Kluyveromyces lactis: one gene and its partners. The protein of the gene in region 2 purifies or fractionates together with the protein of the main gene of each other region. This does not show direct contact. Links are inferred from orthologs where the notes say so. Each region holds a gene or a part of one and is shown on either strand. Other genes may lie near its edges.

Region 1 (4,858 bases), on a different chromosome or scaffold from region 2:
TTCAGTGTTTTCCTCGTACTTCCACGCCTCATTTTGGACAAATGCTGTTTGGAACTGCCGGAGCTGTTTGTATAGATCTTGAGATGAGTTCGAGTAATCGAATTTCGGACTTGTTTCTGGCATGTCATCATCCATTAAATCTAGCTGTTCTCTCCATAGCGTTTGGTAATACGGTACATTGAGCCTGGATTCAGGTATTGCTCTATCTTTATCAAAAAGTCTTCTCATGGCAACCTCTTGTTGTTGCAATTGATCCACTTTTGTCTTGTTTAGTATATTATCATGGAGTATGAAAGGTGACGGATCGTATTTGAAACTGAGAGTGTTTTCAGATATCCCTGGTGCCCTTTGTTTCCCATTCATATCCCTGTTTCTATTGCGTTCATTCTTGTAATTCAACGGAGTGTAGAGCGAAGAGTCGCTGAATACATTTGCCGATGTGCCCATCCCAACGTTGAAATCCTCATCTGTTGAGTGTTTGACATGTTTGATCCTGCGGAACTGCGGGCTTTTCCAGGGTGGCAGACGCGGAAGATCTATGTTGTGCTCCATGTATTAACTTAAGAGCCTGAACAGCTACAGTTGAGGGGTTGAAGGCTGGTTCTTGGCAACATTTTGCCTATAATTATGACAAATTATTGTGGGTATTTTAGAATGCTTACCTTTGACTGACATTTGTGGCATTGGTTTAATGATCACGTGATATCAATGGTAAACCTAACAGATTTCAAACAGCTTGGACATCCCATAGTAGTGTCAATTTCGAGGTATCTGATTAGATTGTTACATAATATATATATATATATTAGATTTAAAGCCGAAAGCTCACCTCATGATATGCCTAAATTAATATGTTTGTGTCTTCGTGCTAAATCAATCCGCTTAATGTCAAACGTTCAAGGAATGGTTGTAGATCGTCTTTCCTGATTTCAATAATTGATGTCTCGAAATTGTCAATCCTTACTTTGGCACCTGTCTCAGCTGCTATTTGTTGAAATGCCACTGTGAAATTATTTAAAGTTTTCTGCTGTTGTTGTTGTAAAATGTCCAACCCTCTTGGGTACCTTGGCGCAATCCCTGCACAAAGATATGTGTCAGAAGTCTCATCTAAAGTTGCCAATACCAGTGGAAGTAACTGTTTTTCGTCATTTTCTGCATAGTATTCAATGAGCCATGATCCCAGCCTCAATAACGTTAATGGATTTCTATATAAATGCAAATCTGGTCCATCTTGTAAAACACATAGCCTGTAAATCCTTAAATGTTTCACTAATCTTTTCTCCAGAATAGCGACTCCAGTTTCAAATACACTTCTTTGTAAAAATGTTGCATGCTTAATCCCCTGAGATAAAATATCCATATTATTGTCCAATACATCCCAACTTGACCAAAAATTTGCAATCCATTTTTTTTGCCTTGTCTTCAGTATTCTGTTAATTTTTTGCTCTTCAGCTTCTTCGTACTCCCTATTCTCTTCATCACCTTGGTTCGTATCATCTTTTTGAGATACATTAGCTGTTGTCAAATTTTCTAGTGCGTTTGAAGCATTGCCAACTTCAAGTAAAGCGGTTATCGATTCGACAAATTCACTGGCACTTATTGATCCTCGGTAACCGAAAGTTCTCAAGAACCCATCTCGTACAATATCTTGTAACCCGTATCTATCGAGATTTTTATCGAAAAGTACGCCCAGATCTCTCTTGAAATTATTGTCCATATATATCCAGTTTTCCTGTGTAACACTCAGCGGAATACCCATGCGTGCAAACATTTTATGCAGTCTTTTCTTGCCATTTTCATTCCACAGTGACAGTTTGGCGTTGACGTAGTTAGAATAATAAAAACTATCATATAAGGATGTATGCCTCAGAAGGAATAAACTGTAATCGGGACGAATCTCAAGATTCAAAGAATCTGGCGTTTTAGTTTTTTCACTAGGTGTCAATCTTTTTACTTCATCTTTCAGAAGTGGTAATAGTCGATTGTATACCAACGGGAAGGAATTATCCAAAGAGGACACTCCTAGAATGCATAACCATAAATAATCTAGATTTGTCTCACCAATACCAGACAAAAGAGAATATATCTGAACTGAAAGGGAGTTCAGCACCGTTGATCCCTGTGAATAGTACTCCTGTAACACTTTTTCTAAGTTGTGAAACTCTCGCTTTCGTTGTTTATGTGATTTTTTTGGATTCAATTCATCGCTGGACCTTTTACCCAATACTACGTCATCGTCATCGTCATCGTCATCGTCATCGTCGTCTTTATCCTCATTTTGCGTTTCCCTGTCATCTTCCTCTTCCTCGCTATCACTGTCATCGTCCAATTCATCGCCAAGTTCGTTCTCTATCTCTATAAGTTTGTAGTATGCTTTCTTTTGCTCTGTCAAAGACTCTTCGACTGTTCCATCATCGAAACAGGTTATGCACTGTGAACCAAATAAATTATCCAAATTCCACGGTCTATGACAATCAAGCACAAATATCTCCTTCTTAAATTTCTGAACAACGTCAGTCTTATCTAATTGAATCTCATCTAATGGACCCTGCGTGTTTTCTTGTGGATCAATCTCTAAAAAAGATTCAAGATCTACCATCCCTCCACAACCTACAAATATAACGCTATTGATATTTTCGTCCAGTCTCTGATAGTGATCCTTCAATTCCGAATAACCAAACACGGGAACTAACTGTGATTGTACCAATTGCTTCTTGAATAGACTGGATAGCATCTTCGATGCACATAACGCGTCAATGTTTAAACACGAAACAAAAATCACCAACTGACATGAAGAATGAGAACTGCATCGGTGAAGAATTTTATCATAAGCACCCACAAATTCAGCAATGCCAATATACATCCTCTACCTGGCACTTTGATGGCCTGCAGTGGTTTTGTTTGCAGTCTCTTTTCCCTCGTGAGCTAGTCATCTCATGTATTTACATAAATTTCTTTAAAATATTGGTTTGGAATACTTACACGTTTAAAGATTTTTGGAAAATCGATTACTTGTCATAAATGGCATACATGCGAAATATTCGAAATATTCGAAGAGATGCCAAGATTTACAAGACTATAGGTACTAAACACTGCTATCTGATATTTCATATTGCAGTATTACGAAATACGAAGATCTTAACTTACTATGAAACTACTGGGAACAATAATTGGTTCAGCATTCTTTTTACAAGCTGTGTCTGGATTCTTTTTCGATTCAGGTCACCAGAATAGACAGCAACAGCAGCAACAGCAGCAACAGCGGGATGTTGGCTCTTACCAGCAAATGTTCCTAGATAATGACTGTCCGCATTATTTATGTCCACAGACATTGGATTGTGTGAGACAGAAGTCGGATTGTGCGTGTCCGTTCCCTAATTCACAATTGAAATGCAATCTACCCAACGGTCAGGTAATTTGCATCTCAAAGCCAGCAACACATGATCCAACACTGGTAGAGATTTATGATGATCCAGTAATGGGACCAGCTCAACGTACTGAGGGATTCAGAGATTGTGGATGGATCTTGGATGTATATGACGGCAAGATTTAGAATGAGAGATCTTTCTTTCTGTATCGGCCATAATACTATTACAAACATAAACTGATAATATATATAGAGACATATAATACAGACCATTACTGTATTTAATGCAATTAACTAGCATGGGTTTATTTTTACTCGTTTGAGTTCTTCGCGGAAAAGATCGTTACCGGTTCGGAACAGTTAATCTCTGTTCTTACCTGCAACCCATCTTTTGTATAACAATTCATGGATTTTAAAGTTTCTGAAAAGCTCATCGTACTTTGATTGCTTCCAAAGTTCCATTAAGTCATCTTCAGGTATGAGTTGTTCAACGTAGCATAATACAAACTGTTTCTTGGCTCCGCCCACGACTCTGGCAGCGCTTGAATACCAAGTGTAATCATTTGACTGGTTTGCATCCAAAACCATGATTCCATACTCCGCATGTTGGAAAGGGGGTCCTCTTCTGTATAATAAGTATTCGCAACCAAATTTTATCCCCGATCGTACACACCACCCTTTGGACCTGTAATGATGGTACGCGACATATTGATGAATTAATTTCTTGATGTCTTGGAAACTTTTCGGTTCCAGTACCAACGAAACCATTAATTGTTGCAATGTGATCTTCAATACCGGCACTGCATAAGAGAGGAAAATAGCCTCGACGGGCATCAATTGCAAGCTTTCTAGTTGAATCACTGATTTGCCTTCTATTAATCTTAAATCTTCGTCACGTATTTGCATCGAGTCCTTTTCAAAAGCTAATTCTTTATCTCTTTGATTCTTTAAGAATAACCTTTCTTGTTCAATGAATTGTTCGTCTACAATCCCCTTTTGTCTCATTTCTAACTTCTTGGCTTCAAATTCAGCTCTCAGTTTCTTGAATTCGAGCCGCTGCCTTCTTCTAACGTCTGTAACATGCTCTAAGTTGATTCGATCAGCATCATTTAGTTGCAATCGAGACATTGTTCTTGCCTGCCAGTTGGGTTCACTCCGAGATAGTTGACCAGTACCAAAGAATCCGTGTTCCCATAAATACTTCATCTGCCATTGATCACATACCAAAATTTGACCTAATTGGTTGATCTTGACGTCAATAATTCTGGTTTCACTCCATCTCATCGCCCAATCTAATATCCAGGAAAATGCCTGAAAGGGATGTTTCCATACAGACGGTACAGGCTGCGCCTCTATAGGCAACGCATGTTTGTATTGCAGCTGATTTCTATGAGATCGCTTCGACATTGTAAGTACTTGCCTCCCGCGGTCTTCATATATAGTTACTAAACATGCAAGAGAGATTAGCATTGGACAAAATATGGTTTTATA
Region 2 (6,696 bases):
AAGTTGTTTGTCGGAATACTTGTAACTCATGACACCGGTACATCCATCCAGCAGACATCTTTTCCCGAACACAGAAATTTGCCTCGTTATGTTGCCACATGTACTGTCATCGCAAGCGACCCATCCAGCATAATATAATGAAATATGGGCCCTTATGATTCTTTCTAATTGTGAAGTGACTTGTATTGGGGTCATTATGTGATTACAGTTGGAACATTGGATACCGGAGTAGACAAATCGATACTCTTTGGATGCTACAATACCACCGTATACAAATTTGGTATCACAATTCGGACATGTTAGCTCAAGTGGAACACTGTCTCTGAATCTCTCCTCATCTGAAATAGTGGTTTCCAATGGTTGCAATGTGTCCATACCCCTACCATTTAGCTCTCCGTTGGCTCCACCGCGATTAATGTATTTTCTACTGTCGAGACCAAGCGCCTCACTCAGTCTAATTATGTCAAAACTCTCAATCCTTTCCAACAATCTTTGTACTGGAGAAAAGATTTGTTTTCCAAGATAATACACAGGATCTGGTTTCAATCCGTTTTTTTTATTCATTACTTCGTTTAATGCTCTAGCTCTCTCAGCCACATTCGCCTGATCAGAATCCTGGTCTGAATCATCGCTACCTTTAGTGATGACAAAAGTTATGACAGAACCAGCTTTAACTACCCTTCCTGCCTCTCTCATTCTTAAAGCAACTTGAACTGCTGGCATATTCTTACCCCCAGGATATGACTTAGGATCCTTAGAAAGCCTGGTATTAATTTTGTATTTGTCCATTCTAATCTCGTTGTTCTCTACTTTTTGACGTATTTCTTCCATATATGCGTATATCTCCTGTAAAGCACTCTCCGAGTCCTTATCAGAAAGAAGAATATTTAACACTCGAGTTGAGACTTCCTTTGACAATGGACAGAATTCACGACGTTTCATATCTAAACCCTTAACTTCAAGAGTAGTTTTCTCATTGTTTTGCTTGTCAAAAGTAACATTCAATGCAGCATACTTTTTCTTAGCATGCAACAGTAACCTTTTGAAGATGTTATCAATGTCTATTTCAAGCAAACTGTATCTTTCATTCACCAGCTTTTTAAAGTTTTCACCAATTTTGATTGCATCCATGTAATTGTCACAGCCAGTACTGATCATGACCGAATCGGTATCACCGTACACAACTGTTAGACCCAGACTCTCCGCTAATTGTCTTGTGTTCATGAGAATTTCTCTCCCCTTATTTGTAACTAACATTGCTAACGGTTTAGCATAAAATCTACTGTTCACATAACCCAAACAACCATACATAGAATTTGCCGTAAGCTTCAAAGCTTGCTGCCTGATATCATATTGGGCTTTTTTACTTGCGTCATTTTCAGTCTTCATTAGATTTTTCACTTCTCTACGTCTTTGGACCAGGTTGGCCAATAATCTTGGCAGTACACCTCGTGATTTTTCTCTTGAAGGCACATCTGGAAGTTCTTCATTATCCTGTGGATTCCTGTCAACAGTAGTGAAGCAAATATTAAACTCTTGAATGATAGATGGGTACAACGAATTGAAATCCATGACCAAGATATAGTTTTTATGCAAACCTTTTTCTGGTTCAAAGACCAACCCACCCTGATATTTTGATTTTTTACTGGACACTTGTGGCTCCATAGGATCTTCATTCTTTTGTTGTCTGTCTTGCTTCATTTGCCTTGTTTCTTTATCAGGAACAATGTAATCATTTCTGTTAAATTCATGAAGCAAAATATATTCATTTCTACCAGCTCTTGTACCACCCAAAGTCTGTCTCCATCCATTGCCTGCTAAATTAGTCAGTTGTTTGGTTAAAGAGAGAATTTGAATGCGGAATGCAACTTCTGCTGTTATAATGGAGTTTTCGATGTTTTCGCCTAGCGCTAGAAGCATCTGGGATTCATCTTCCTGATATATTGGGTTTAGGTAATTAATTTCGAGAGATTTTCTTTCAATACCGCAGGAAACTTGATACATTTCGTTTAGTTCCCAATTTTGACATTTTGGAGTTAGTGACTGACCCATTTCATTGGAAATGTCACATAACAACCTACCTGCAAATAAATCCCTAACTATGAACTGTGTCATACTATTATTATGTTTTCCAAACTTGTCTGGCCATGCTTTCCGCAGTCTTCTCCCAAAGACACTAAATTGAGGAATATTTAACTCATAAGCTCTGTGTGCCAGAACATCCAAGATGACACCTTCCAATCTATGTCCTATTATAACATCAGGATCATTTACCTTCAAGAGAGCACAGAAACAGTTTAATAACGTCTTTTCGTTATTGAAGAGACGCACATTTCCGGATAATTCTTTCTTTGATTTAGGTCCCAGAAGAGGTGGAAAAGTTGATCCTTGTGGAGGCCTTACTAGTGTCACTATTTCATTTGGTTTGAGATTTTGTGGAATTGATGAATCTTGAGATAAATTTTTGAAGACAGCCATACTTATAGCAACAATTTCCTGCTTGTTTTCTTTTGCATTCATGACGGTCTGAATAGACAATGATATACAGTTCAAGCTCGGAGATGATTTTTCATTCGTTGCTGAGATATGATTAGGTGAATCAATTTGAACCTCAATAGCACAATGCGAAGCGCCTTGAACTGCATCAAAATCGCCATCTGATATCTTAAGCCAGCAAGGGCCCATGATTTTCCTTTGGACAACAAAACTCTCAAAAAGGTTTTGGTTACCACCGAAGACGTGACTGAATGTATCTCCCTCAAGTTCAGCGGGAATAGTAATTGACTTGCATTTAGGAGTATCATAAGGTAACAAAACCTTCAAATACTCCGCTTCGTGTGGTATTCCTGGAAGTTCAAAGGCATACTTTTTCGTTTCAGGCTTAGCGCGAAGTGATTGTAAGCCATATTTATCCAATAATAGAGGTACAATTTCTTGGTGGACATCAGACGCTGTTTTACCCTCCTTAGGTAGAAAATACAGCTCTCTATTGAAACCATTGATTTGCGCCATTGCAGAGACTACTTGATTCTTTCTCGTTTTAACTTTACCAAAGAGAATCAAAGAAGAGTTGACTTCGGTAAAATCAGTCCAAAAAAAGTTAAAACTACCGGTCTCAGCGTCTACTACATCCTCTTTAGGTATTCTTTGTCTCAGTGATCCGGAAATTGATTCTGTTGCTTGTGTGGACCCTGTAGAAGTTGACAATGGGGTGTTAGGAGCAGTGACATATGTTGGCGAAGACGTTAATGGTGCTGTTTGAGCGCTGATATTCATCTGCCTTTGAGTAGCTATTGATTTGAATTTTTTTCTACCAAAGTGAATATCATCTTCGTCATCTTCACTGTCATCTTCGCTTTGATATGTCTTCTGCTTGCTCATTGAAGGAGAACTAGCCACATCGTTTAATAATGATTCAATATCGTGGTCCTCTTCCATTGAATCACAATCGATAGGATTAACGCTATCAGCTTTAAAAGGTACAACATCTTTACCTTTAAGTGGGGATGTATCTACCTGAGGGTGTTTATAGTTCATAGGCGTAGTATTTGCAGGTTGTTTTCTGGATATCGTTAGCTTCGGCTTCTTAACCAGAGGCTCTGCGTCAAATTCACTCAAAATATCATCAAATTCAGCAAGTGACACTTTCTTAGGTTTTTCTGTTGGCATTGTCATTTTTCTCTTGACATTTTGTTGCTTTATGATATCGCTGATGGTATCCTTACCTTTGTTATTCTTACTGGTCTTATTACGCTTTTTGCCTGACTTTGCATCAACACCATCGTCTTCATCAGAGTAGAACTCCTGACTTTGATCCCATTCATCTACACCACGATCCACATATCCACTGCCATCATCATCTTCAACAAAATCATCTCTTAACAACTCTTGTCTTTTCTTACTCCTATATTGATCCTCGTCAATCAAGTCATACACATTTTCTTCTTCCAGTTGTTCATCTAGCACATCCCTATTCGATTTATTATTCCTAGCTTTCTGCAATTTTTTGAGCAGTTCAAGTTTGTTCGCATTACTCATCCCGAGCTAGTGTTTTAATAGTGTAGGGTGGCAGTACGAACTACCCTAGTAATTTAGTTTTGTTGTCTTTCCTGGTTTGAGTTGCAAGAAGAAGATGATGAAGATGTTCTTACTTTTACGCGTTCTTTTTTTTTTTAAAGTTGTATCTATCTGCAAAGCACGCGTTCGAAATCTATGAACTTAATGGCACCAACGCTGAGACAAAGCGAGAGTGCATGAGAAGAAAAGCGAGCGAAAGATTGAGTGACAGTAGAATACCGACAACACTTGAGTGGTTAAACGGTGAAGCCGCTGAAGTGTTAGAGAGTGTGCGCTCCTCAATATTATGATACGAATTTCCATTAGTTGAACCAATTGGCGTTGGCTTGGAAAGAAAAATGGATCACATGACCTGTGGTTTAAGACTGTCCTCAATTTTAAAGTGCTCAAATTGAGGTTTGTGATCATTAACTGAAGGGAAGGATAACTGTTAAGGAAACAGCTGATAGCAGGACCCGTAAAGATAATCGCGTTACATCTGATGTCCTTTTATCAAAATAGTACTCCAAAAAAGGAGGACAATCGTGCAGATTCTAGTGGAAACGATGCGGTGCCTTTGTTGATAACACTAGAACAGAATATTCAATTACTCAAGCGTAAAGCTCATCTAATAGGGACAAGCAAGGACGGACAACTATTGAGGGTTGATATAAAAAATAGAGTAATCCCCGAAATCCAGAAAATTAGTCGAAAACTGGCTGACTTAACTTCGCTAGATACACAAGATAAATTTGCTCGAGATTTTCAAGCGTTAAGCAAACAATATAACAGTGTAAAGACCGATTATGAGAATAGGGCAGTACAGAATCCCATACCTGACGAAGAGAGTAAAGATAATGAATCGGAACATCTCGTATCGCAATATGAAAGCATGCCAATACAAGACGATATCGAGAGGAGGGATCATTCTTCAGAGGATACTCCGTTACTTTTGTCTACCCAACAGCAAGAGCCTTTGTTGAATCAGGATGAGTTAGATTTTCACACGATAATTCAACATGAAAGATCCCAGGACATATCAAAAATCCACTCTGCTGTGCAAGAGGTCAATGCCATCTTCAAACAACTAGGAAGTCTGGTACAGGAACAGGGCGAACAAGTTGACACAATTGGCGAAAATGTGACAGGATTATCTAATAATTTGCAAAAGGCGAACAAAGAACTTCACAAAGCAAATGAATATCAAAGGAAAAAGAACAGATGTGGTACAATACTTCTAGTAGCTATTGTTGTTATCACTCTAATAACTCTTATCGCGATTCTATCATAGGGTTAGATTCTACGAGGAATGTAACTATATATTAATACAAAATTTATCTCTGGCCTTATACTTGGATGAAAGTTACGTTACGTTTTAGAGAACACGCATCATCAGGTAAATATGTCCGACTTAGAGGTTACAACTAATTATTAATCATAGCTTACTTGTCAGTATCCTTTTTAGTGCTTTCGGAGGAGTTATTTTTGGATAGTTCATAAGACTCAACATTCTTGAGATCTCCACGTTCAATGACAAGATTTTTGAGAAGTCTGTTTTCCATTTCAAGGGTATTGATTCTTTGCTTCAAGTCACAAGCTAACTGTGAAAGATCTTGGACCCAAGTTTCCATTTCTTTCTCTTTAAGTTTTTTAGTTTGATCCAAGTTCGGCAGTTTGGGTCTTGAAGAAAGGGTTGAGGAAGTGGACGACGATTCTACACCATCACTGGAGGAATTGTTTTTATCAGAATCAGTATTATGCTTTTTTTCGTTTATCTTCTCATCGAGACTCTTAGCAGCATTTTCCTTGTCATTGAGAAGTTCTTCCGATTGTCTCACCTCTTCCTTCAATTTAGCAGACGTTACATCCTTCCTAAGAGAGGAAGCTGATTCTAGTTTCCTGACAACTGATTTTGGTGTTTTACTGATACCATCATCCAGTGTTTGCTTTGCAGAATTCTCTTCGCTTTCTTTCTTTATGTTGTTAGAAATTGAGCCGTGGTGCACTTTCGGTGAGTTTTTCATATATGTATCAATAACTCTAGACTCTTTTTCCACTGGAGTTTTTTTGGCTCTTTTTGGATTAGGTTTATGGACACTTGATTGAGGAGATGGCTCAGGTTTTTCATGCAAAAAATCCAATAGCATGCCAACGGAGCTTTGAATATGTTCTTGAGGTTCAGGAACCAGTTGATTTTGCGAATTCACATCTATCGATGAGCCCAGATGGGAAGCTGACGATGGTGGTCTATTTGTAGAGTGATTATTTAAATTAGTTGGCTTCCTCACAGGAGGATCAAACTTTTCTCTTTCTCTTTCATAATAAGCCATAATAGCAGCTATGGCGTCAATCTGTTCTGGTTTAAAGCCAACATTACGCAAAGACTGGTAAGCACCTCTGGGAACATTAATGATAGGCAACAATGATACCAAAGTCGCAGTTTGTATTGTAGAGTAGTCTGGCATCTGTATATTTGATTCAAATCCTGATGTTGCAGCCGTACTTGGACGATACGGATTTTCGTTGCTATTGACATGATTATTACCATGGTTACTAGCTGTGTTGACGATTGAAGAGGCAGACGATACAGTGGTATTGGACGGATATGACATTGAAGTTAAATCATATGCGGCTAATAAA
Region 3 (3,466 bases), on a different chromosome or scaffold from region 2:
CCAAGTAGTTATCACGTGCATACAACACGGTATCCAACATGGATTCGTATAATAAGAAGTAACCCATCCATTCGGAAATAATGATATCAACCTTCTTATAAGGCAACACAACGTCTTCCAATTTACCACGTAACAAAGTGATCTTGTCTGAAAGACCATTCAATTCAACAATTTGCTTAGCCATTTCAATAATACTAGACATATCAACACCAATGACATGCTTAGCACCGTTCTTTGCAGCAAACATAGATAGAATACCAGTACCGCATCCAACATCTAGGACAACCTTACCTTTAAAGAAGTCCTTATTTTGGGCTATAGCGTTACGGTACGAAAGCGTACGCACAGTATCTTGCAACATCTCTTCATGAATACCGAAATGGTCATAAGAGGTGAAATAGTGTTGTTCATACTCGTTCAATTCTTTTTTCTGCGTAGCAGAATCAGTGACATCAGTCTTGGACATCCTTTATTTTATTAGCTTTACAATTAGGAAAGATATGCTCAACAATTAGACTAAAGATGAAACACAAGTCTTGGTATATGTATGGTGACAAATATTATATCCCAATAAGCTGTACACTATACTCAATGCAATCAAACCAATAACCGTTCTAACAAGTTGGTTCCAGATCAAGTACTGTTCTGTTACTTATGCCTCGTTGCCTTAAATACAAAACTGAAAAATTTTTGAAGGCGATGAGCTGCAAGAAAAAGAAATCCAAAAAGAAATCGTGCATTCCCCATAGTGAAAGTGAGGTAAAGCTAGTTAGTTGCATTTGGAACGGTTGCATCAGCAATATCACCAGCAATGATATCTACAGAATTGCAATGAAAGGTGCAGAATTCGGCGAAAAAAGCTGCCTTGCTATATCTTCTGCAGATATCCTTGTTGTATAAGTCTTTCGACGTCGGATTGTCTGACGAAAAATTGGGAATCTTTAATCAGGTTGAATACACCGTACTCTGTTTCTATTTGTCCTGCATCTTTCAATACTCGTACGTCGATGAACACATCGCTCGGCGGTTGTAACATCCCAGTCAAATCGATTTCTGAGAGTTCTCCCGATTTCAATTCGGTAAGTAGTTGTGCATACTCTTTGAGATACTCTTGTTCTGCATGTGATAAAACAGAGGAATCAAACGATGATAGATTCGGGTGGTTTGATATGGCAGAAGAAAATTCCATCCCGTTGTTATCCCAAACCATTGAGTCTAGCATCTCACTTCTCATCTTTTGGTATGCTAATAGACATCTTTTGTTTCTTTCCATCGAAAGCATAGCAACGACGTACTGGCATTGAGCGACTTTGTTATCCTGATCAGTAAGCTGCTGTTCTCGTAGGTAATCCACGTTCTTCTTGAGGGATCCAACCTCTTTCAGGATGCCACGGACTAGCTCGTCTTGATATACTGGTAATTGCTGTTTGTTGAATCCAGCTTGAGATAACTGTTGCGTTCTCTTTGCTTCTAGTATCAACTTGTTAGCGAGATCTCCGTACATTTTCGGTACTATGGCAATGATAATCAAAACCAATGACTTGAATCCAGTTCCAGGTCTTTTAGCACGTTCTTTTCCCTCTGTGTTATCTCTGTAAAAGTTGTTCATAGCTTTTCTCTTCTCTAGATTGAAATCGCTTTGAGGAAAACACGTAAAATTTAAGGACTTTAACGTGAAACGATACTGTTTAGACGCGAACAAATTACAACAAAGAAAACAAGGGGAAGCAAACCAACAAAGCCCATTGGGAGGTTCTGATAAATGAAGACGAGAGTTTATGGTCACTATGGGAAATTTCAAGCCTTGGCGAGGCGACATTTGAATAAAAAAGACAATGAGTTAAGCGATGAGGACAATTTCACTTCAACTGACGAGGAAGAAACAAGTTTATCAACAGATTTAGATAGAACTTATGAGACTTCTCCCATGGCTCCTGTCAGAGAAGAGTATGTGTCTTCCTCTCATAAATACGAGTCATTTGAAAACCGTGATTCAAAGACAATTGAAGCTGATCCATTCGATATTTTGGATGGTATGGGGTCGACATCTATGAAGAAGAAACGTAAAGTGACAAGGCTTCATAAACGAATAACAGTCGACAATGACGATATGAAAGATGTTGAAGAAGCTGTTGATAATGATTCTGAGATTCATGAGTTTCAAAGTACAATTGACAGTATCTCCTCGATGATTTCGTCATTGAAAGACTCCGACGATGTAATATCGACTTATAGCCAAATTCAATGTCTTAAAGTGGTCTCCACTTCAGCAGTGAGCCAGGTGAGATACGGAAGAACACGTACATTATTGAAAAAAGAGTTTCAAAGTGATGAAGAGCTACAAGAAGAAGCATCAAATGTCGATGAGGATGATGAAAATAATGAAGGTATTTTGGATGCTCAACATCACAATACTTCTTTTAATGATTCCAATTCCGTCATTCACGTTAATCAATTAAAAACACTCGGAGAAGGGCTTAAGTTCGAAGATGATCTGGATTTCTTACCATTCACTACTAGTGATGAAAAGTTATTTGTCGTAAAACTGATTAGCTGTTGTTTACTATTACTCAACAATACAGAGTTGACAAGTTATACTCAAAAGTATAAAAGCAATGAAGTATGGAACTGGTTTTTGCAGCAAATTAACCCTGAGAACAATGTCATGAGTTATTTACAACTTTGGATTGCTAATTTAGTACCACTGCCGCGAAGTGCCCCTCAATGGCAACAGTTATCACCTCTCCTAATGACTTGTTCCTCTCTTACAGAAAATCCAAAACTTATTGAGGGTTCAAAGATTACGAAATTAAACTACACGGATTTTGTTCAGCGGGCTGAAACAAATCCCCAAGATCTCACATTTACACTATGGGAGTTTCACCTAGACCCAAACAGTAATGAATTCAGTAAATTGATCGAGTCATTGAATAATCCTACGCCAAGGTTATTTGTTCTGGTTGAACAGCATTTAGATAAATTTATTACAGAAGAGATGATGACAAATTTATACCCAAAGATGTTATATTATTTATCCTCATATATTGAGGATATCTGCACTATCAAAATTATGGTAAAATTGACTAACCATGCATTTTTTCTGAGTCTACTTTCTCCATTGGAAAAGGTAAAAATTGTACGTGCTTGTCTCTCATACATCATTAAAGTGAGAGAAAAGATAGAATCAGAGCAGGATACTGACGACATTGTAATTCTTCAACTGGGTTTGGTGCTTAATATTGTGGCAAAAGATACAATCAAGATCGAAAATTCCATAACTCAGCAAATACAAGACATGATCGGACAGTCAAAGAGCGAAAGCTTCCTAAAACAATTACTGGCATTAGTATTTGTACTGCATACCAATACTACCGAGTGGAACCATGATCTTTCCACCACAGCTTCAATCACTAAGTTATTGAAGAATCTCTCAAACGACATGAAGGACACCAACGAAACCATCTAT

Evidence for each region. Proteins that work in one complex are often made in the same cells at the same time.
Region 1: the proteins of POL1 (region 2) and CDC45 purify together in Saccharomyces cerevisiae (affinity purification with western blotting, with the first as the bait; 5 studies listed by BioGRID). This does not show direct contact. The link is inferred for Kluyveromyces lactis from reciprocal best matches to the Saccharomyces cerevisiae genes POL1 and CDC45.
Region 3: the proteins of POL1 (region 2) and PSF1 purify together in Saccharomyces cerevisiae (affinity purification with western blotting; 4 studies listed by BioGRID). This does not show direct contact. The link is inferred for Kluyveromyces lactis from reciprocal best matches to the Saccharomyces cerevisiae genes POL1 and PSF1.

The regions. Positions count from the first base shown.
Region 1 is NC_006042.1:1,834,147-1,839,004, forward strand, and holds CDC45 (DNA replication initiation factor CDC45), read right to left. Parts: upstream 2,864-4,858; coding exon 869-2,863; downstream 1-868. Other genes in the region: KLLA0_F19800g (uncharacterized protein), read right to left, coding at 1-552; LCL2 (Lcl2p), read left to right, coding at 3,149-3,553; tRNA splicing endonuclease subunit SEN2, read right to left, coding at 3,728-4,837. UniProt on the Saccharomyces cerevisiae protein: Required for initiation of chromosomal DNA replication. Acts at the origin of replication. Also has a role in minichromosome maintenance.
Region 2 is NC_006039.1:1,127,671-1,134,366, reverse strand, and holds the start of POL1 (DNA-directed DNA polymerase alpha catalytic subunit POL1), read right to left. Parts: upstream 4,039-6,696; coding exon 1-4,038. Other genes in the region: SNAP receptor VAM3, read left to right, coding at 4,559-5,347; MET4 (Met4p), read right to left, coding at 5,499-6,696. UniProt on the Saccharomyces cerevisiae protein: Catalytic component of DNA polymerase alpha, which in complex with DNA primase (DNA polymerase alpha:primase) constitutes a replicative polymerase. POL1 has a role in promoting telomere replication during interaction with CDC13.
Region 3 is NC_006038.1:615,368-618,833, reverse strand, and holds PSF1 (DNA replication protein PSF1), read right to left. Parts: upstream 1,505-3,466; coding exon 869-1,504; downstream 1-868. Other genes in the region: protein-arginine omega-N methyltransferase HMT1, read right to left, coding at 1-466; RAD61 (Rad61p), read left to right, coding at 1,763-3,466. UniProt on the Saccharomyces cerevisiae protein: Required for DNA replication. Functions as part of the GINS complex which plays an essential role in the initiation of DNA replication by binding to DNA replication origins and facilitating the assembly of the DNA replication machinery.